3 linked regions of the Xenopus tropicalis genome follow. The protein of the gene in region 2 purifies or fractionates together with the protein of the main gene of each other region. This does not show direct contact. Links are inferred from orthologs where the notes say so. Each region holds a gene or a part of one and is shown on either strand. Other genes may lie near its edges.

The links. Proteins that work in one complex are often made in the same cells at the same time.
Region 1: the proteins of vars1 (region 2) and eef1b2 fractionate together in Homo sapiens (co-fractionation; 3 studies listed by BioGRID, with this or other methods). This does not show direct contact. The link is inferred for Xenopus tropicalis from reciprocal best matches to the Homo sapiens genes VARS1 and EEF1B2.
Region 3: the proteins of vars1 (region 2) and eef1g purify together in Homo sapiens (affinity purification with mass spectrometry; 6 studies listed by BioGRID and IntAct, counting the BioPlex papers as one, with this or other methods). This does not show direct contact. The link is inferred for Xenopus tropicalis from reciprocal best matches to the Homo sapiens genes VARS1 and EEF1G.

Annotation. Positions count from the first base shown.
Region 1 is NC_030685.2:50,701,796-50,709,467, forward strand, and holds eef1b2 (elongation factor 1-beta), read left to right. Parts: upstream 1-3,652; 5' UTR 3,653-3,698; coding exon 3,699-3,778; intron 3,779-4,342; coding exon 4,343-4,465; intron 4,466-5,584; coding exon 5,585-5,720; intron 5,721-6,239; coding exon 6,240-6,306; intron 6,307-6,919; coding exon 6,920-7,045; intron 7,046-7,314; coding exon 7,315-7,469; 3' UTR 7,470-7,533; downstream 7,534-7,672. Other genes in the region: ndufs1 (NADH-ubiquinone oxidoreductase 75 kDa subunit, mitochondrial), read right to left, coding at 72-132. UniProt on the Homo sapiens protein: Catalytic subunit of the guanine nucleotide exchange factor (GEF) (eEF1B subcomplex) of the eukaryotic elongation factor 1 complex (eEF1).
Region 2 is NC_030684.2:75,093,124-75,100,777, reverse strand, and holds the start of vars1 (valine--tRNA ligase), read left to right. Parts: upstream 1-2,808; 5' UTR 2,809-2,927; intron 2,928-3,029; exon of another isoform or gene 3,030-3,124; intron 3,125-4,027; 5' UTR 4,028-4,043; coding exon 4,044-4,358; intron 4,359-4,450; coding exon 4,451-4,594; intron 4,595-4,831; coding exon 4,832-4,946; intron 4,947-5,527; coding exon 5,528-5,682; intron 5,683-5,785; coding exon 5,786-5,870; intron 5,871-6,481; coding exon 6,482-6,582; intron 6,583-7,060; coding exon 7,061-7,188; intron 7,189-7,654. UniProt on the Homo sapiens protein: Catalyzes the attachment of valine to tRNA(Val).
Region 3 is NC_030680.2:36,805,076-36,812,887, reverse strand, and holds the start of eef1g (elongation factor 1-gamma), read left to right. Parts: upstream 1-3,792; 5' UTR 3,793-3,798; coding exon of another isoform or gene 3,799-3,810; intron 3,811-4,643; coding exon of another isoform or gene 4,644-4,802; intron 4,803-4,957; coding exon of another isoform or gene 4,958-5,021; intron 5,022-6,198; 5' UTR 6,199-6,324; intron 6,325-6,844; coding exon of another isoform or gene 6,845-6,969; coding exon 6,970-6,987; intron 6,988-7,812. UniProt on the Homo sapiens protein: Probably plays a role in anchoring the complex to other cellular components.

The sequences.
Region 1 (7,672 bases), on a different chromosome or scaffold from region 2:
CTAAGAAAGGGGCATACATCAAAAAAGCTGAAACTGTAAATGGTCACAGAACACAAAAATAGAAAACTTACCATTATTCTTAGAGTTTTGGGTGGCACTTGCCAGTACCCTGCGAACTACAGGCCTCAGCATTTTGCTACAAATCAAAAGAAAAGGTTAGCCTGGCACATTTTGAGGCTGTCTGAAGATTAGAAAATGCAATAATTCAACACATAATATTTGCGAAAAAGTATGCATTTTTAACTTATTAAATAGGAGAAGCCACCAAATGCATTATTTTTTCTTTCATAGAATAAAAGGTTAAATAACCAATTCAATCCTTAATAAATGCTTGTGGTAGTTCCTGAACCAGATTGCTTAACCTTTTTATTGTGAGAACATCTTATAAAAATAGCATTTGTATAACAAACAGATTGTCCTTGAATGTAAGTAAGGGCCAAAAGCTGTGCACGGAATAGTTTAGACCCCTGACAAATGTTACCACCCCAGCCTGTAAAAACGATGCCTGATACCATGGTTATTAATGGGGGGGGGGGGGGGGGGGGGGGGTAGAATATAGAATCCTCTGTGAATGCATTGCTAGTTAAAATGTTCTATTATTCTATTATTCAGACTCTTTGAGTTATGTTATAAAGGGTGCAATTAGTTTATTATAGGTCTAATCACCTATCTTAAAGGAGAAGTATACTCCCGGGCTCAAAAAGCACCCATAACTATCACTATCTAGACCCCCCTCACCTCTCCCTTATTGTATTGTTTTTAAGTTTAATGACTGTCCCTATCTCTTATAGCTAGCTAATAATCCAGAGGAGCGCAGCCCCCTACCTGTCCGACATTTTCTTACTGACTAAAGACACTTCTGGTCTCACCGCCGTCACCTAACCTGCTTGTGCACGTGCAGTTGAAGCGGATTTCCTACCTCCAACTGCGCATGCACAAGCAGGTTTATATCGGCAGAGCGACCAGAAGTGTCTTCAGTTGGAAATAAGATGTCGGCGATGTATGTGGCTGCGCTTCTCTGCATTTTTAGTTAGCGGTTAGAGATAGGGACAGACATTAAACAATAAGGAAGAAGTGAGGGGGGTCTAGGCAGTGATAGTTATGGGTGCTTTTTGTGCCTGGGGGTATAGTCCTCCTTTAAGCAATACGGAGGCATGTACAGGTCAAACATCTTATTGACTGCTACAGGTTACTGCTAGTAATGTGTGGGTTGACAGCCTCTCCAAAACTAGATTTTTATGGTGTACTTTTTATTTCTAAATGACACTGCGTAAATTGGTACATTGAAAAGGAATCTACGATTTAAAATGTTATTCTTAAACAATAAATAATATTTGGTGTATTTTTTTAAGTTTCAATATTGACGTGTAGGCAGTCATTTCAGAGCATTGTGCTAGATCCTGTGCTTTTAGAAAGTGCCAGCACTTCAGAATGCAACTGCTTTTAGATTAGCGATTTTTTTCTCCTACTCAGGACTTCAGTTTTAAACTATTAAGTGCTACGCTCATATCTACCAGGTGTCAGGGAGCTGTTATCTTGTTACCTTCCCATTATTTTGCTTTTATGCTGCTGTAAGGGATAGGTATGGGGTGACCACTCCAACTTGCACTGCCACTATAAAGAGTGACTGAAGTCTATCAGAGAACAAGTCACATGGTTGTGGGCACCTGGGAAACTAAGAAGATGTCTAGCCCACATCATATTTAAATTAAATATGAAAAAAAAATATATGTTTGCTCTTTTGAAAACTGGGTTTCAATACAGGATTTTGTTGTATGAGAGCTATATTTACAGATACACCTGTCACCCTGAAATTGTTTCCCCCACCAGTGGTGCAGGCTAATGGAGCCTGCACTCCAGTTGGGGGAAACAATAGTTTAAAAAAAAATAATAATAAATAGCCCCCACCAGCACTAGGCTGCCTGCACCAGTAGGAAGCTTTTGGTGTGGGTGGCTATGTTGGGGCACATGCAAAAGGATGAGCGAGAGCAACATCTCGCTCATTATGCACAGGTATGTGACATAAATTGCAATTCGCAATTAATGTCAGATGATAATGAGCATGTGAGGAGACTGGCTTTTTATGCACGCTATAGAACAGTGATCCCAACCAGTGGTTCATAAGAAACATGTTGCTCCCAGGGTCCTCAAAGTAAGAGCTTATTTTTGCATTTCTGGCTTGGAGGTAGGTTTTGGTTGCATAAAACCCAGTGTAAAGCCAAACAGAGCCTTCTATAGGCTGCCAATCCATATAGGGTGCAACCAAACAGCCAATTATAGCTCTTGTTTGCACCCCCAGGAACTTTTTCCATACTTGTGTTGCTCCCCAACACTTTTTCCATTTGAATGTGACTCATGGGTATAAAAGGTTGGGGATGCCTGCTATAGAACATGACAGCCTTCACCAAAAGCTCTCTCCCAGTGTGTGTGGGCTAGTGCGGCTGACACACACCAAAAAATTGTTTTTCCCAAACAGAATGCTGGCTCTATTAGCTTGCAACTGTCCTTGGGGAAACATTTTTCAGGGTGACAGGGTGCCCTTCAAGGTATGGTGTTCCAAATTCCAGACAGATCCCTTATCGGGAAAACCCCAGGTTCCAAGCATTCTGGATAACAGGTCCCATACCTGTATTATACTTTATCCCACCCCACAAAAAAAAAAAAAAAAAAATCTGCCATAGCCATTGAGCCACAAGCCAGGTCATAAAAACTAATTTTAATCAATATTACAATATTCCCTATTTGCTGAGTAACGACTTAACCAGCGCAACCAATTGCATGTGTAATTTTCGCGCAATGTGCAATAACTAAGAGGTTAGAGGATGTGCAAGGAGAGAAGCGCATTACTGAATCCCAGCAGAGCTCTGAGTAAAGACGCGCACCCATGCACAGACTATGGAACGCTGTAGCCCGCGGGTTTGCTAGTATAGGAAGGGATGGAGTCTGGAAATCTTTAGCGAATAATAGAAGAGTCCAAGTCCTACCGAACTAAACTACATCTGTCAAGGGCACAAGAGTGACCTACTACCTTGCTAGACACACAGCCAACACCATTACACCGTAACGCAGGGTTACCGCATCGGTTATGCAAAACATTACAAAGAATTGCCATTTCCAAACCACTCACCCCACCGACTCCCCTAAACAGCTCTGGGAATATTTGGCCTTCTAGACCAGAACAGCCCTGGCCGGCACCCTTGACCAATATGGCGGATTTAAGCAACCTCCGGAACAAGCCACGGAAGATGGTAAGAATTATACGTAACTGAGAAAGCTTCGGTAACTTCCGCACAGGCAAAGACTAGAGATCGACAAAGTCCGGCAAAAATGACGAACGAGACTCGGAGAAACTTCGTTTCCGAAATGTTGCGAACGCAACATCGTTAGTCTTCGGCACAGGCAGTTTCCGGATCGACTTAACATCGGCTATCTCCGTGATAAGCGGCAACACATGCAATCCCAAATATTTCTGCAGTCGGAAAACGAAGATATGGTCTCCAGTAAGTAATACTTTGCCGAAAGGGTGCGGATAAAAAAAAATATAAACTTGAAATGATGTACATGTTACATAGTGAGTCTTTAAGGAAGGCTTAGCCCGCCCCTCGTAGCCCCGCCCCCTGTCTATAAAAGGCATCTACCCGGCCTGCAAGTTCTTTTCTTTACCCGTGTGTGCTAGGCTTCTTGAGTGAATTGCTGTAATGGGTTTCGGCGATCTCAAATCCCCTGCAGGCCTTAAGGTCCTGAATGAGTTCCTGGCCGACAAGAGCTACATCGAGGGGTCAGTGTGGTAAATGCTATATTATAGTTGTGCTAATGTTCGAAAGGACAAGGAATGTGTAATATGAATGAACGTGTTGGCTTCCAACGCGTGGTCCTAGGCCGCAACCTCCTGCTGCCTGACTCCTGAATTCTTTTAGCTGCAGTGCCGTAAACGTGTCACAAAATCCCAAGTGATGTAATATGTAAAGGCTGCCTGGTTAATTGTGCCTTGTGCTTTAGTTATGTATTCTTTCTAATGTTAATAATTAAGTGTTTCTTGGAATCATTTGTAAATGTAATTTGTATTAAAAGCAGAATAGGTCTGGATTTCTACACTTTCGGCACTGCTGGCTACGACTGCTGAGCCGATGTAGCAGAAGCCAGCTGCTTAAACTGCACTATGTCAGAGAACGGAAAATTATATAAACTGTTCAGTGTAACTAAATGTGCAAATAGCCTTAAAACTTGGATAATGTTTATAGGAAACAAATGTTTGGACACTATTTATACAGTTTTTTCTACTGTACTATATTATGTTTAGTGGTTATGCTGCTAATTGTATATTTACCCCCACCCTTTTCAGATATGTCCCTTCCCAGGCTGATGTTGCAGTATTTGATGCCCTCTCTGGTGCGCCCCCTGCTGACCTTTTCCATGCTCTGCGTTGGTACAACCACATCAAGTCTTATGAAAAGCAGAAAAGTAGGTAAGCAGTATGATAAAGTATAGCTATTGCTTTCACAGCAGTGATTGATAAAGGAGCATGGTTGAAAAAATATGATACTGTGCTGAATACAATATTCTTTGTTTTAGGTTGAGCTGTTCTACAGCACTTTGAAGCACGTTCACTACTATACTTATCTAATCTGAATCAGATTTTTTTTTTTTTTAATTCGGTTTATTGGTTAACATCCAGCTGAAAAATCACTGCCTATGGCTGTAGTGCTCATGCAGCCAGAAAGTGGCTGCAACATACATAAGCTTTGATAGTACTGTTGGCCTGCTGTAGAATGTAAATGGGCACAATTCTAATTAACATGGATCATGAATGTGTATCATTTTTGTGGTCTATGAAGTATTTTAAAGGAGTTGTTCACCCTTATGTTAAATTTTAGTATACTGTACAATTTTGAGACAACTTTTTTTTTTTTTTTATTTTGGTGTTTGAATGATTGTTTTTTTGTTAAACCGCTGTCCAGTTTCACATATCTGGTTGCTAGGGTCCAATTTAACCTAGGCAACTAGCCAGTAGTTTGAAAGATGGAAAATTCAATATAGGAGGCCCTAAATAGAAAGATAAGTACAAAAAAAAACAGCTTCACAGAGCAACAGATTTTTGGATTCTGAGGTCAGTGACCACCCCCCCTCATTTGAAATCTGGAAAGAGTCTGAAGAAAAAAGGCAAAAAAACTATACACCATAAAAATGAAAACCAACTGAAAAGTTGCTAAGAATAGGCTGTTCTATAACATACTAAATGTTAACCTGAAGTGTTCTCTTTGACAGTAGGACAGAATTGCATTCTCTTGGCTTAATTGATGCTAGCTGAGCACACAGAATGCCCAGTCAGACATGCAGAGGAGCCTCGTCAAATAGTAGCGTGGCTACCCATATTTGGGCCAGCTTGCAGTCATTTGCAGTTAAGATGTCAGTATTGTAATTTGTTCTCTATTGTAATTTGTTCTCTAAAGTTGTATGTAATTCTAGATAACTGTATATTCCTTGTGACTCACCTCTAAGCAGCTGCTAATGCAAATAGCCTAGAAGTATATTTCTCCTTTGTAAAGTAGTTTTTTTTTTTTTTTTTTTTTTTTTTTTTTCCTAGCCTGCCTGGTGTGAAGAAGCCTCTGGGAAACTATGGCCCTGTTAACATAGAAGATACTACAGGCAGTACAGCAAAAGATACCAAGGAAGAGGATGATGATGATGACATTGACTTGTTTGGTTCAGATGATGAAGAGGTGGGATGTGTAACAATCTTTAGATGTAATAAAATTAGACCTAAGAAGCATAAGGTGCAGAATAAATTACACTGGCTGTACAGCTGTGTCCATAATTTTTTTTTTTTTTTTTTTAACATGCTGTTCTACAGACTGAAATGTAAAGAGAGTTTGCTGTGTTTCATGTAGTCTCCTTGTGGACAATGAACGTAGCAAAAATGCGTGCATGCTTTAATTGTGCTCCACTGTAACCACAAATTCATTATATTACATGCCCAAGGCACACTACTATGGCCACATACCTGAAGCAGTGTTTGCTGTTGGTTACTAAGGTTCTAAACATGTGAAGGGAGTTGTGTAAAACACAAATTTGGCTGTACTATATTCAGGCTGGTCATGTGATGAATGAGCTAAATCACCATCTTTCGGCTGATTTGTGATGCATATTGTCTTCTAAACTGACTACACCAGCCTGTTAACTTAAAAAAACAAAAAAAAAACTTGCTATTGTGCAGAATCTTAAGTTTTTCTATTTCATAGGAAAATGAAGAATCAAAGAGGGTCCGCGAAGAACGCTTAGCACAGTATGAAGCAAAGAAGTCTAAAAGTAAGTGGCCTTCTCCCGAGTGTTTATTCTCCTTAAGGCATATGTTTTTAATTGTTTTGCCTTAAGAAAAGCAAAGTGCAATCACTACCTGTTTACATACTGGTCTTCAGTTCCTTTTTTTTTTTTTTTTTTTGTGGAATGGAAATACTTGCCACAGATACTGGTCTGGAGCTGTATTACTATGTGGCAGTTCCAGCATTCCTCCTGTGGCACATTAAAATGTTTTGCAGCTTTATTTCCTCTCAGTCTGGGAGGACTTGGCTGTATTTCAAACATGGTTCTGTTTTATTCTGTACCACTGTCTACAAACTATATGGTGTAAACCTTAGTGTAAAAAATGCCATATAGTATTGTTATAGTATGTTCAGCAAGGCAGTGGCTATGGTTTGTGACTTAGAAAGGTGTAACACTTGACTTTCCCACTAGAATTTTACTTGTGCTTTTATTTTGTGGGATTTTGGGGTAGTCTGAATGTGTGGCTTAAGGCTGTTAGAATGTGTATTCAGTTTATATATTACTAGTCCTTTACTTGCGGACATAATCTAATTTACACTTCTTCACAATCTTCAAATTCTCCAAAGGTGATTAAATCTTAACCAATTTGTTTCTTTAGAACCAGCACTTATTGCCAAATCATCCATTCTTCTTGATGTGAAGCCATGGGATGATGAAACGGATATGGCCAAGCTAGAAGAGTGTGTCAGAAGTATACAGATGGAAGGCTTGGTGTGGGGAGCATGTAAGTTTATATTTTGTAGGTAGTCTAAAGAATATCTTCACCTTAACTGTAATGATGATTAAAATATCACCATCTTTCGACTGATGCTAATGATGGATGTATTTTTATTCTGACTGCCTTTTATTTAAACACTGTAAAGGTATGTGTTTACTGAATGTACAAGTCTTTACATTCTGACAATATGTAGCAAGTAGACTTGATTTAAAATGCACATTTAATGGCTTTATCAACCGTCATCTGTTATCTCAATTGTTCTATTCCTTCTGCAGCAAAGCTTGTTCCTGTTGGATATGGCATTAAAAAGCTGCAGATCCAGTGTGTGGTTGAAGATGACAAAGTTGGCACAGATGTTTTAGAGGAGAACATCACTGCATTTGAAGACTTTGTGCAATCCATGGATGTTGCTGCTTTCAACAAGATCTAAACTGATTTCATGAAGCCCCCATACTTTTACAGCACTTCAAATAAAAACATTTGCTTAATGTGAAGTTGGTGTTCACTTTGTATTGTGGCTGCTTTCCTTGCAACAAAGTTGCACGCATTCAATCTATCTTGCCTCTGTAGGATTAAAGTATGCCAAATAGGCATCAATGTGTTTCAATCCACTGTGGATGGTTGTCTGGATGT
Region 2 (7,654 bases):
GCCTTCTCCACGCCTGCTACTTACTATCTATGTAGATCTCCGACACAATGAATTATTGTTTTGGGCTATCTAATAGGCTGGAGGACAAAAGTAAATAGCGCCCCAGCCACTCATCAGAACATTTTCCTGCCTTTAAGTACAAAGTAATTCAGGAACTTGTACTTTGTCACAGATCAACATGTGGGAAGGAGAGGCAGGGGGAACTAGTGATTGGAACACTTAGTTGTATCTGGATATATTGAGGAATGGTGACACATTCCTGTTAAAGGGGAAGGAAAGGCTAAGTCACTTGGGGGTGCTTAAATGTTAAGCACCCCCAAGTGACTTGAATCGCTTACCTCGTACCCCGGGCTGGTGCCCCTGTTAGGAGAAAACCGCACCAGCCCGGGGCACCTGGGGCGATGCGCTTCCTCCTTCCACCTTAGTTTCTCTGCGACTCCGAGTCCGGCGCATGTGCAGTAGAGTGAAAAAGCCGACTTCTCTGTTAAAGTTCTGTTTTTCACTCTACTGCGCATGTGCGCACAGCGAAGAAGGAAGGAGGAAGCGATCGCTGCTACCCCGGGCTGGTGCTGTTCTCTCTATACAGGGGCACCAGTCTGGGGTAGAAGATAAGCGATTCAAGTCACTTGGGGGTGCCTAACATTTGGCAAGTGACTTAGCTTTTCCTTCTCCTTTAAACTCAGAATGTGAGGTCGATATTGGGCTAATTTAAAAATTTGGCCCTGGGGCCAAATGATCAAATTAGAATGGCAGGTATAGGCGCTGTTGGTTCTGGGACTGCATCATCGAGCCAATGCGGTCCCCAATCCAATGGAAAAAACAAACCTGCACAATCGAGATCTGTCTGATTTCAGGCTAGATGGCAGTCCGGCAGACCCGTTGTTTGTGCCACCTTTACACTCCAGTGGGTATAATAAGTTTTAGTACAGTACCTTTCAGTCAAAACCTCAATCAAAAAGTCTCTTATTGCCTTAATCCTGCTGGGGCATACATAAAATGGGCAGTCATAAACTGCTGTACTATAATAATTTACTCCTACTCATGCACAATACCAGAGTGTCTCACCCAGTTCTTTATATTCAATCAGTGTACCTTACTGTGCACAAACCACTTAATGTTCAATCCACATCTAGGATTGCTGCTATGTACCCCTGATACCATGGGCACTTCTTCAAGACACCAGCAGATGGTACATTGTCTGTATAACTTGCGTCCCTGATCATCCTCCTTTATGTCTCTGATTTTTGTTTTTTATTTAGAACTAGAAAAAAAGTTTGTGCCCTCTCTAACAGAAAATGTGTCTGCCCATTCCTTGCTATGTTTAAATAAAAGACTGATTAATTGCCATGGCTATTATATTACTTTTTATGTTATTTGTTCCCATTTGGTCACTAATGTAAGGGCTGGAATTAGGGGCATACAGAAGAGGCTTCTGAAACCCAGGCAAAAATTGTCCCAATCTTGGCCCCTGATGTCATAGCCCCACTCTACAGCCATTTCTACACACCAGGGGCGCTACTGCCATGAGGTGAGTTGAGAAATTTACTTCAGGAGGCATCACCCCTCAAGTTGCCAGGGGTGGCAAAGAGCTGCCCTCTCAAAGAAAAAAACTAAGCATAGGGTTGGAGAGTGGCATTGGCTAGGCTGCCTCAGGGCAGCAGTAAGTGCCCCTGCTCCAACCTGAACATCACTGCTCCTACCCAAATTATTAACACAACTTACTGATGTAATCATTCTACCACTTTGCCACCTTGTCTAAGTTTGGCCACAGGAAAAGGAGAAATGTATAGTTGCAGTGGCCTACCAATAAGATTTCTGCCCTGGCCCCACTACTGCCTTCAAGCAGACCTGGTGACAAGTTGTTAGGGGTGGGTGATCAAATATTTTTTCACTTTGTCAACTCTGTCATTGGCCTTTAATACAAATTATGTTACTTTTGGCTAGTGTAAGGGAGTGTCGCCAGCCCCAAGCTCCTCCTGTCCTGAGCTGATTGGTTTCTCTGCATTTGCTAAACCTTAACTGAAGCAGGTGTCAGCTCTTGTTGGCAGTGGTGTTTTGTCTTGCTTACAGGCTGGCACAGGAAGGAGTAATTGTCGGGCAGGGTGGGCACAGGAAAACTAGTATTGGCTTTGGTGCTAATACTTCTTGGCCCAGCTCTGGTAAATGCTCAGCACTGGTCTACCAGATTTAATATAGAAAAAACAGAGCAAATTGTACTTCAGCCATGCCACAATCCAGATAAGAACTTAAAGTGACGTATGTAGTCTTTACGTGTTTGCACCGTTAGCAGACACACACTGTTATACCAAGACAAGCGGCTGTTACCAACTAAGTAGTCTAGGCCATCTACATGTAGTGTTGCCACCTGGCCAGAATTTTACCAGCCTGGATGGTAAAAATGATACTTGATACCAATATTATTAATAGGGAAGAAAGATAAAAATATAGGCAGGCCGTTTTTTCCCCACAAAAAGTGGCAACCCTACCTACATGTGACAAAAATTACAGAACCCAGCTGTTACATGAATGTGTAATTTAAATAGCCCTTCATCTTTGTCAATGAACCAGTGTTAATTCGACAGTTGTTGCTATACAATGAATCAATGTAACTCGCTTTAACACCAACGGAAATATCAACCTGATGAAATTTATAGTAATCTAGTATAATTACTTTCAATATCAGAAGCTGGATTACTATAAATTGCATCAGGTTGATATTTCCGTATTCGCCCACTAGGTGTCAGCACTAAAGTTCCTGACGCCATGATTCCGGCAGTACGTCTTCTATTGTACCTATCGGCCGGTTTGTTTGCCTGTCTTATTAGGGCTACAAAGTCTAAAAAGAAATCTTCGCGTGTATTGTGGAAGGACCCTAATAATATTGCAACCAGAACTATATGCAATTGTAATTACTGAGTTAACAGAAGGTACGTAAGAGAAATAAAAATAAAGAGCGTTCGGCTACTGCACACTAAGAACAGCCTACTATGGGCAAATTTGCTGTCCTTCCAGCAGCTGCAAAGAAGGGCGGAAGTAGGAAGTAAGAAGGTGAGCAAAAATACACGTGGGTAATACATTTGACGTCATTGCACGGATCGGAGGAGTACGAGAGGAAGAAAAGTGTGTAAGAGAATGGAAAGGGGATAATACTGATGAGAGTGAATGATGGAGTGGGGCATGGTGAATGCGGAAGGCACAGAGCAGAAAAAGGGCAAATGTAAAAAAAGGTTAACACTTAGGGAGGTCTAGAATTGAGTTAATGAGAGGTGGTGTGGGAGCATAGCAAGTTAGTGAACAATAATGAAAAATGAACAAATGAAAGTAATGTAGTATAGCAGGGTCAAGTAGGGTCAGACCAGATGTGCTGTCATTGGCTGCTGGTAAAAGACAATGGAACTTATTTACCAATACTGACCCACTTACTGAACTGGGGTCTTTGATTTTAAGAGAAAGGCACTATCTGTATAGAGTCTACAGGCCAAAAACATGCTGGTGGTCTTAACTGTCTCCTAATGAAATGAGATCGGCATGATTATAGTATGTGTATGTGCATGCTAGGGATCTTAGATTGTATGCTCCATTGAGGTAGGAACCAATGTGAATGATCAGTAGTTTCTGTAAAGTGCTGCATAACACACTGGTGTTGTATAAATAGGGTATAATAAAAAAACAAACAAAAAAAAAACATAGCAGCAGTTTAATTAGCCATAGCAACACAAAATAGTGTTGCTATAGTGCAGATGACAGCAAGTTTGTAAATGCAACTTGTTTAGATTTAATTTTCCTGAGTAAGCTAATGCCATTATAAGACTAAAGGAGTCATTTATTTTTGCCCAGGAGGCGCAACAGCTTTGTGCCATTTTTTTCATCTTGCTCCTCATTTTGATAATAAACCACTGAGAATAAGTTTAATATAAATAAAGAAGCAAATATTTGGACAATAATAATTTTCTATGCATTGAAAATGCCTGTATTTGAGTTATTAGAGCCTACCTCACAATAACACACGGTTGTGTTTGCCCTACAGGTCTCTTTCTCTCACCATGTCTACCCTCTATCTTCCGAACTCCACCTCATCAGACCCGCGATCTCTGTGGGTGCGCATTGCTGGACAGTATTCTACCCTATGTAAGCCAAAAGTACAGGAGGTGTCTTCTGGCCCTCACGGACTACCACTTCCTTGTTTGCTCTCACCCTCCAATGAACCAGTATGGGGTTCTTGGGCTGTTTCATATATGCTTGCTCCTGAAGCACTTTCTGGAGGATGTGACCCCTGCTCCGGTGCTCTTGTTAAACAGTGGGTGAGCTATGCAGAGTCAGAGTTGTTGCCTGCTGTGTATGGAGCAGAACGTTCACAGGTACAGATTTAAAGTGCCTGCATAATTCTGTTATTTTTAACCCTAAATGAATTTCCTATGGTACATATGGTGAAAGTTTTCCTTTTCCTTAGACTAAAGATCGTTCTCTTCTGGAGCTGCAGAAGATTCTGGATAGTCTTGATTTTTATCTTAGACTTCGCACATATCTTGTGGGAGAGAGCATCAGTCTTGCAGACATTGCTGTAGCGTGTTGTTTGATCAGTCCCTATACAAAAGTAAGTATTTTATCTGCTGACCAGCTAAGGTATTGGTGTTTCTTCTGTTGAATTATAGCACCAGTCATTTAAATCTGTGAGAGGATGCTGGAAATTGTATCCTAACACCAAAAATCATCTCACATATACAACATAAATAGTAAAGACACCTAAATGTTATGATTCTCCTTTTTTACATTATATTTCTTATTGGTCATGTCACCACTTCCCTTTCCAATTGTTTTGTTTATTTTGTAGGTTCTTTCTCCCACAAGAAGAGAGAAACTTCTTAATGTTACTCGGTGGTTCCAAACTTGCATTAATCAACAGCAGTTTAAAGATATTCTAGGGGAGGTTAACTTTCTAAAAACAGGTAACATATATGGCTCAGTGACAAGGCTTTTCATATTTTATTGTAAGTTTTTATTTTTCCTTTAGCATAATTACAATAAAGTACTTCACCTTTCAATATTGAGGCTGGTTCAAAGGCATTACACCTAAAACTGCAAATGCTGGAAAGTTTAGCTGGAAAATTTTGCAAGGGATTCTAGATTTTATTCAAACTTAGGGATCAAAAATGTATTTAAAAGAAATGTATGATGAAGCACTAGAAAAGAATAAAAGTTCACATTTAGCATGATAAAGACACATTGCTGTGCAGACCTTTCCTGTACAAGGTGTGTTGCACAGTGCTAGTGCTTCTGCTATTGCAACTCCTTTTGTTCCTTCTGGAATAAATTAATGCTATAAGGGGTGCCCCAAGATAGGGTTATTAAGCATTGCAGTAAGTGCATTCATACCACAAACAATACCGAAAGAAAGTAACAGAGTTAACTAAGTGAGAAAGTGGAATATGTAAAGCTGGCAGCATGTTAGGGAAAGTGGAATCTGACAGCTTTGAGGATTGAAGTTATTGATGACCCCCCTTCTACATGTGACTTGCTTTCATCCTAGATGTTGCTGCTTCAAAAACTTCAGATGGTCCTTCTGGTACCCCTTCCAATGCCCCCCCTAAAACTGCAGCCCAATTAAAGAAGGAGTCTAAGAAGAAAGAAAAACTGGAGCGGTTCCAACAAAAGCAAGAGAAAATAAAAGAACTGCAGGGGGAGGTGGGCATGGCCTGTTTAAAGGCAACATGATAAGCCCCTACCACGCTACACACACAGTCCAAACAAATATTTACACCTTCTCTTTCTGAACTTTCAAATACAGAAAAAGCCCAAACCTGAAAAGAAAGACAAGAAAGAACTTGGGGTGATTACATATGATATTCCTACTCCTGCAGGTGATAAAAAAGGTAACAGTTTGTGCAACGTAAATTATGAATTTGTGGAAATTAAAAGATGTAAGGCTTATTTCTAAAGTAAGTCAATAATGCAACATTTGGAAGCAAATTATCATGGTTTTTATCCTCAACCCAGGATTCTGGTGTTATTAAGGGCAACCACTATGTAGCATTCTCTGCAATTCGTATAAAATAAAACAAAACGGATGCAAATTACTTCACACTTTTTGTAAAGTTGTGGTATGTGGTTCCAGGTTACTTCTGGCATGCCATCATTAATATCATTGTCATCTGATTTGGTTGGCTCAAGTCACTTGTTTCCATAGATGCAACTTTCAAGGGAAACAGTGGAAAAACTGAGAGGTCCAGGGTGGCAGTAGCTCTAGGGTTCCCTGTCATTCATATGTACAATTGTGTGCAAGTCTAAAGAGGTGCATTGGTGTTTTGCATGTTGCTAGGAGCAAAGTACCTTTGTGAAAAACAATGCATGCTTAATTTTGTGTCCATTCTGGCACTTTGTAGTTGCAAAGCCCATATAATCTGTTTCCAAATATCCAGTCTATATTACCGCTCCATTAATCCTGTATGTTTCTCTAATTCTTGTATTCATTTTTATCTGGTAGATGTTTCTGGTCCTATGCCTGACTCCTACAGTCCCCAGTATGTAGAATCTGCTTGGTACTCATGGTGGGAAAAAGAGAAGTTTTTCAAGCCCGAATTTGGGGTGAGTCGGAGATGTTAATAAAGCCTGCATGTGGCATTTTTTAGTTAATAAGCGAGGCAAATGTGTGTGTCTATTAAATCAATCACATTGAAGTTCTTTTCAGTATTCTAAACACAAAAACAACCTTTCTCATCTGTTATTTGTATTGATCAAGTTACATGCTGTATATCTTGTTTTATGGATTAAACACTTGACAGTTAGGACATAATATACAAGAGCTGATCAATGCTTTCATGCAAACTACTTTTATGGCTGCATCAAGCAGCTTCTGTTGGTTACTTGAATTTAGGAAGCCTGTATCAGCTACTTGTCCAAAGCATATAGCCACTCCTTTTAATTGTTCCTTTGGGCATCAAATTTGGATCATATGTTTTTCGAGTCTGGGACAAAATATGTTTTTACAAATGTGCTTAAAATGATTTATTGCTGTATGAAAATAAATAGGTCTCATCTCATTCTGCAATTTTTTATGTCCCAGAGAAGCAGCATTTCAGAGCCCAACCCAAAGGGTTTGTTCATGATGTGTATTCCTCCACCAAATGTGACTGGATCACTTCATCTTGGACATGCTCTTACTAATGCAATCCAGGACTGTTTGACCCGCTGGTAAGTGACCTTAAACTGATACTGGATTTATACATGAGGAGGCAGAATATTCACAAATGTAATTGACTCATGAAAAAATGCATATAGATAAAGTAAAGATAGAAAATAATAGCAAGAGAGACACATGTGAGTGTTTGGTGTGATGGTTTAAAATTATTTTTGTTGTTGTCTAGTATATAATACAGTTGTGGCCAAAAGTTTTGAGAATTACATAAATATTGGAAATTGGAAAAGTTACTGCTTAAGTTTTTATAATAGCAATTTGCATATAGTCCAGAATGTTATGAAGAGTGATCAGATGAATTGCATAGTCCTTCTTTGCCATGAAAATTAACTTAATCCCAAAAAAACCTTTAAACTGCATTTCATTGCTGTCATTAAAGGACCTGCTGAGATCATTTCAGTAATCATCTTGTTAACTCAGGTGAGAAAGTTGACGAGCACAAGGCTGGAGATCATTATGTCA
Region 3 (7,812 bases), on a different chromosome or scaffold from region 2:
TTCTACTTACCACTGCCTGGAAAAAAGCTAATTACTAATTGGTTGCTATGGGCTACTGCCCAGGTGCAAATTTGCGCAGTGTTTATAAATGAGCCCAACTCAGTGACTGTAAAAGAATGCACTTTGAGCTGACAAGCATCCTCAGCTTGCTAACAGAATCCGTGGGATGTTAAGAAGCCTGTACATTTGTCTCTATGTAAATAAAGCTTTATATGAAGCACGTTGGTTCCTTGAGATTTTTACATAAAGTAAATCATAAGCATAAGTTTCTAAACTGTTGTAATTCATGCAGTGAGCATGAAGGTTGTTTAATGAGCACAGAGGGAAAGACACCCCGTGGTTCCCTTTCTGCACACATCAACCTGCCTTTCTGGTCAGTTATTTTATTATGATATCTAATTGCTACTTATGGCTTGAGATCGAAGCATCATGTCAGATTATTATTTGTCTAAAGATATTGAGGAATTACAACTCCCATGAATGCCATGGTGGTGGGTTACATTTTTGAAGGGTGCTGGGGGTTGTGCTCAAAACATATATATATATATATATATATATATATATATATATATATATACATACATACATGATCTAGAGACGCTGACATTCTGAGACAGTTAGTAACTGGTCTTCATTGTTTTTTATTATTTATTTTTTAGTGGCTTTTCATTTATTTAGATTTTTGTTCATGAGCTCTCCAGATTGAAATTTCATCAGCTATCTAGTTTCTAGGGTCTTGTTTACCTTAGCAGTGCTTTAAATGAGAGACTGGAATATGACTAGAACAGGGACTAAACAGATAGCTAAGTAATAAAAGGTAACAATAATAATAAAATTGCAAGATCACAGAGCAATAGTTTGACTACTAGGGGTCAGAGATCCCTATTTGACAGCTGGAAAGATGTAAAAGTGGGAGGCAAATAATTAAAAAAAAAAAATAATGAAAACCAATTGCAACATTGCTAGGAATAGGACATTCTATAACACAGTAACATTTAACCTGAACCATGGACAGTGGCCAGAGAAAAAGAAGAGAAGCACCATCTATAGAACTGGATCAACAATAAGACAACAATGTTGAACCTGATGGACCCTGTGCCTTGATTTTAAACCTTATCTTCTTTAAAACATATACTTTATTATTTTTTAATTCTATGTTTTTGAATGATGAATATTTTTTGGTGAGAAATGAAATTGCATAAATGTGTTAAGGGGGCTCCATAAGACCATGTGCCAAACCTGAAAAAGCTATAATGCTTGCCACCCATAATGTCTCTTTCCCAGACGATAATTACTGCAATTATAATACCTACCATGATACATACACATAACCGCCACACCCAGTTAATTGCTCCCATTTCACCTTGACTAAGAGCAGCATTTGATCCAGTATCATGCTTTTAATATCTGGGAAGAAAGGTTAAGTTTTCATTGCACACTGGGTGCCATATATTTTCTGTATGGTGCCATAGCTGAGCCAATTTGCCATCAAAGGGAAGGGTGGCAGTCTTTGAGAGCTTCATCGCCATTATCTGCCCCATTACCTGCTGGCTGCAGGGTTTTTATTTCAAATGGCATTTGTTCTTTGCTTCAGAGGGATGGCTTTATTCTTGTGTTTCACTGTACACGGAAGGAAGGAAGTAACAGACCCAGCTAGACTGCACTGGCACTCCGATTGCAGATGAAATGCTGCATGTTGCCTCTCTTCTGCATTCTGGGCTGAGCCCTTAAAAGTGATTACTCATCACTACAGAGCACAACTGATCCCTACAGTGACTCTGCAGCTTGCTGATTTCCAACTAATTTACTGCATAATGCTTCCTTACTGGAAGTCTGCATACCCCCCCATGAGAACAACCTATTGGCCTAGGGACCATTAAGACAAGCTTGATTTGGTCACTTTATCATATATGCTGATTTGCCTCTGTATGCTCAGCATTAGATGTTATAAGATGTAAGCGGTCACTAAGGCATTCAATGACCATATCAATTAGGGGTACATTATGCGGTATAAGCAGGGCTGCCATCAGGGATAACAAACAGTACTAGTGTCTCAGGCTCCATCAAATCAGAGGGCCCCCGACTGCACCATTTACTGCTAATGGCATTGCTATTTTAAAATAAATATTTTAGAGGTTAGTATTGTGTACAGTAATGTGGTATTTTGTATTTTATACAGTGTAAATGGCACTAAATCATTTATGATTCCTTGACCCTGGTGTGCTTGCAGTCTAATTTCTTCCTCTCCTATTAAGAAAATAGGGTTAATTCTATAAGGAGGGAGAGGGGGTACTGTTGTACCGGGCCCAGTAAAATCTCCAGAAGGGGGGGCTGGCCTCATCACAAAAGTTGCTTTAGAACTTACATAATTTACATGTCTTCCACAAAAACTGGCTAGAAACAGGGTAATGCCACACGGGGCTGATTTTTAAGTGGATGGTCTGATTCTCAGAAACTGTTTTTCTGCTTTCCAAGAATCGGCCCCTCTGCTCCAAGCAGTTTCAGGCAGAAATATCATGCGTGTGCCTGCACCCAGGCGGATTCAGTGCTTCCGGGTGCAGGCACAACTGAAAGATTTTTAGATTCAAGAATCAGCTGTATGGAAATACCCTAACCTAACTTGCATATCCCAATATGACCCCCCCAATAGATCAAAAAAGTCAAGGTAAATGTTACTGTCCCCAGTGAATTGACTCATTATTACATTACTACTCATATTACATTAGCACATTAATTACTCATTTTAACTATTTATTAAAGAGTAATGTCGGCTGTTTATATTGAAAACTATTAACAGATGGATTTGTGCACTCCTGCATGAACTTTACAGCAGAGGAATGACTGGTTATTGGGCCCCACAGCAACATCATTGGGCCACTACACTTATGCAATTTATGTAACTTTTGCAAAAACTTAAGTTACTTTAAAAGAAAGTACAATTCTTACAATTAGCCTACAGCTAAGATTAATATAAAACTACAATACCCAGCATGCAATTATAGACAGAAGCTCCCTTTTCTATTCCTCTTTGCTGAACCTGAACCAGCAAAACTACTATAACCTGCATGGACTGGGCACAGGGGGCTGGGAAACATCAGCCATCCCAGTAACTGGAGAGAGGGCACAGGGCATGGGTAGTAATTATACACTACAAAAAAAGCATTTTCCCATATATACTTTTATTTTTTAGAATTTGTTTTCATTTTGTATATTGGGCTATTTTTGGGCTACTTTCGAAGTGGCTTTTGGCTAGTTTTGGGCTGGTTTGGAAAAATAAATCTGGCAACACTGGTTTTGTTCTATGTTTTGCTCAGAACCCAATTAAGTGTCTAATAAACCTTACTTTTCTACCCCAAATGACCTTTGACAGGTCATTTTAACAGACTTTTCAATAACACCTATAATACATATTTCAGGCAGCCACATATGTTAGTTCTATCTATGGTCCTGACTAAATGTATTATCCCTTAGCAGCTGGCTCCTACATTGCAAGGAAATCCCTCTATGCTGTTCTGGAAGGTTCTGCCAGGGAAGTGAATCCCTCTCACTCTCAGCTTATTAAACTCACTATCACAGCTTAACTCCATAGAATCCTTTTTTTGGGGTAGGGTTTTCTGACAGAAACCCTTTGTATCTCCCATACTGCCACATATCACCTGCCTGTACGTCCCGAAAGCGTCACGTTACGCTCCCGTCGCTTACACTCCTCTATTTTACGACAGCCCGTAGTCTGTTTTCGGCACCTATATTACGTCGGAGAGCTGGAACTGCGGCTCCTCCCTTTCTACTCGCGTGAAGATGGCCGGCGGGGTAAGTAATGAATAGGTCCCAGAAAATCCATCCACATCCGACAGCTTATGATATATCCGGGCCGTAGTGTGGGTCACTGGGATATGGGGTGCGCTCTGCTATCCGGGTCACCTTTCATCTCCCGGTTTGGTGCTGGTAGTATGGGGTAAAGTTAGTGGGAATAGTGCCCGGCTTTACCCGGAACTAAGGGGAGCGGTACAAAGAGAGGGCAATACGGCGCTGCCCCGGTAACTGCCCCTAGTCACGTGTCCCTGCCTGCTCCTTCCACACGCGTTTCTCTCCCGCTCTGTGCGCCATTTGTACGGCTGTAATACCGGCTGCTGTGTGACAGCGGCTCTATACAGTGACATGTGACAGATGCACAGTATTCTCTATAGAGAACTTCCAACGCATGGGAAGGCTTTTGAGCTGCCATGCAGTGTTGTAGCTAATACATGTTAGTAGTGTGGCGTAAAGTGGTGAGGTGGCAACCCTGGTTTTATTTGCTGCTGCCATAAGAGTATAAAGACAAGAAGTAGCTGCTTGAGTTAAAGATTTTAGGCTTACATTCTGTTGTCTGCCAAGGCTTAGCTTTACCCAGTAGGAGACTTCACATAAGAATAGTGATATGGCATGTAGTAAGATATGTGCTGCTTTCCAGGGCCTTGGGTGTACATTAGAATGTGTTAGATATATAAAGGAAAATGTTTCCTTCAGCAACCCTAAATATGGTACATGGAATTGTATATGGTGCCTGGTGGTGCAAAGTCCCATATGATTGGGGATAATCATTTTGTACAATATTTGCTTGCCTCAGTGTGTATAATGTATAACTGTGTGTATTCTCTCTGCAGACTCTGTACACATACCCTGATAACTGGAGGGCATACAAGCCCCTCATTGCTGCTCAGTATTCGGGGTTCCCCATCAAGGTTGCCTCCTCTCCTCCAGAATTCCAGTTTGGAGTAACGAATAAGACATCCGAGTTCCTAAAGAAATTCCCCTTAGGCAAGGTAATGCATTTGCTTCCATAGTCCCTCAACTTCAACCCCTCCAGATAATCTGCAATGTGTGTACAGTATGTATATATTCATACTGTAGCCCTGGATGTAATGAACTTTTTAAGGTAATATTATTGTCCTTAATCAAACTCTTTCTGGACTTTTAGGTACCAGCATTTGAGGGCAACGACGGTTTTTGCCTTTTTGAGAGCAGCGCCATTGCTCATTATGGTGAGACAATCATTTTATCTCTTGTTATCATTTTATCTTCAGCAGGTTAGCCTTTATAGAATCAGACCTAGCAATTACTCTCTGGCCCTTAGGGAAAGAACCCACCTGTGATAGTAACTGCTCCGAAAAGGCTTTCCATCGGCAACAGTAGAAGTCATGGGTGAAAAGGCCTTCGGTTTCCAAAGTTGCGTGAAGTTGCCTGCAGGAGAAAAGCCTTTTCAGAGCGTTTACTCGCCCATGATAGCAGCGGTCTGTTGTGGGTGAGTAACTCGCTATGTGGGTTCTTACCCTAAGAAGCTAATTTGGAGGTTGTTGCTGTAACTAGTATACAGCAGACCCCACAGCCACAGGGGAGGTATAATGGTCTCAAGGTCTGCTGCTGGGCCAGACTGGGATTCAAAATAGGCCTCAACATTTCAAGTACACAGAGGCCAAACCCCCAGCCCAGTGGCATCTTACAGCAGCCCCTTTCGCATTTTACAGAATATACAGATTGCCAGTCCAGGCTTGGTCTGCTGTATGGTTCTCCCTCCTTATTTCCAATGTTTGCTCTTCTGCTCTCTGCAAATAAATGAATGGGGAAAGGGGTACAGAGGAGGAGGGAGTGCATGCATTTAAAATTGCAACTGGGCCCAGGTGCTGCTTAGTTATGTCACTGTTTGGATGGTCCTAAAATAACCCAAAAATTGTGCACCTACCATTTCTGCTCTCGTTCTGGCCATTTTCTCTTCTTAAAAATCTATTTATTTAGATCAATCCATGGAATCCCCAGCCCAGGCCCAGGTTCAGTCACATATCCTGCCTGCTGGCCTCCTGGTGGGAAACTGCCCAGAAATAGTGATTTTACATAAAAACATTTCAGTAAAGATGTTTCCACATATTTCGGACAAATACAGATTTTCTGTACTCGCCAATATCGATCAACCCTGCTGGCATGTCCCATTATAGGTTGAGAACCTTGGGAAGTGTTCTATCTTTGGAGATGGCCACTTATAGTTCTGCTGCTTGCACTCCCTACACTAAGGTGGAATTATAAACATAAGCAGTATTCCTGTGAAAGGTTATTAAAAAAAAAAAAAACTTATGGATAGCTGGCCATTCAAACAGCAGCTGCAAAGCTGAAATCATAAAATAGCAACCTGGCAAATTATACCTTAATCTCTTCATATTTTTATAGGCATTCCTTGTGGCGGAATGCATAGAATTGCACTACAAGACAAATGCTGACTTGGAGTCTCAGATTTAAATTGGAGAGCATGTGAGCTCTGAGATGAGCTGTGAATCTTTATCATTCTACATCAAGGTTATCCATTTCTTTTTGTCCCTCTTTCTGTGTGTCTCGGGCTCCTGCAGACTGGGTATAATGAAAGTCCACTCTTAGGGTGAAGACACACTGGGCTACTAGTAGCAGCTACTTTTTTTTTATGACTACTAAACTCCAGAAAATACCCTGCCATAGACAATACTGAGAATTGCCTCTGCTAAAACACATGTAGAGGCAATTATCTGTAAATGATCAGCATTCTCTTTTTTAGTAGTCACGGCAAGTAGCTGCTACTAGTAGCTCTGTGTGTTCTCACCCTAAAGCTGGCCATACATGCACCGATAATATCGTATGAAACCTCGTTGAAATCCTATTGTTTCTTCCTCCACATCTGCCATTTCACCCCTGAATGTTAGTGGCGGATTGGAACGATCGCACAAAAGATCAAAAATCGCCACGTGTGTGGCCACCTTTAGACTTGTCACATATGTCTCATACTTTCTCTGACTTGGTGTTAATAGGAAACCTAATTCTCACCTCTCACATATTTCTCTGACAGTGGGCAATGATGAGCTCCGAGGAACCAATCGTTTACACCAAGCTCAGGTCATCCAGTGGGTCAGCTTCTCAGACAGTCACATTGTCCCTCCGGCCAGCGCATGGGTCTTTCCCACTCTGGGGATCATGCAATACAATAAGCAGGTAAGAAGGGTTCATTATTCTGCTTTATTTTCTTTGGTTAACTACACACTGCTGCGTGCTTATCTGCTAAATTATTTATTCATCTAACAATGGCCTTTCCTTTTCTACTTTGTGCTGCGTCGAGATGAATTATGAAATACTTTGCTTTACAAATACTTCAAGCACCCATAATGTTTGGGGTCAGTAGGACCCTTTAGGGTGACCAGATTGCTTGAAAATTCAGGGACGTGTAATGAAGAGAAAAAATAAATCCAGCTAGCAGGGCTGAACTGATTTGAAATACAATTCCTGCGACATGTACTAGATGTGTCCTTGAATTTTCAAGTGATTGGGTCACCCTACTTTTTGCCGCAGCCATAGCTTTAGATGAAGTAAACACGAGGCAGTTGTCAGAGATGGATGAACTGCCTGATCCAAGATCGATATGGGTTTAACAAGATTTAACTGTTTTAAATTGAAAGATTACCTTAAAAAGTGTGTGTATATCTCTGCCCCACCCTTATTTAGTGAATGTTATGGTTATATGTATCTTTCGGTTTATTGAATGGTGTGAAGTGATCTGTGCAGTTAGCTGGAAAATAGCAGCTTGCTTAAGGGCTGTGACACACGGGTAGATAAGTCACGGGTGACAAAACTCCCCAAAATGCCATCCCACCGGCTAGAATGTAAATCGTCGGTGGGATGGCATATGCGGCGGTGTGATTTGCGGAAGTTGCCAGAGTTTCCTCTCAAGGCGACTTCTGCGAATCACGCTTGATGCTTATGCCATCCCACCGGCGATTTACATTCTAGCCGGTGGGATGGCATTTTGGGGAGGTTTTCTGT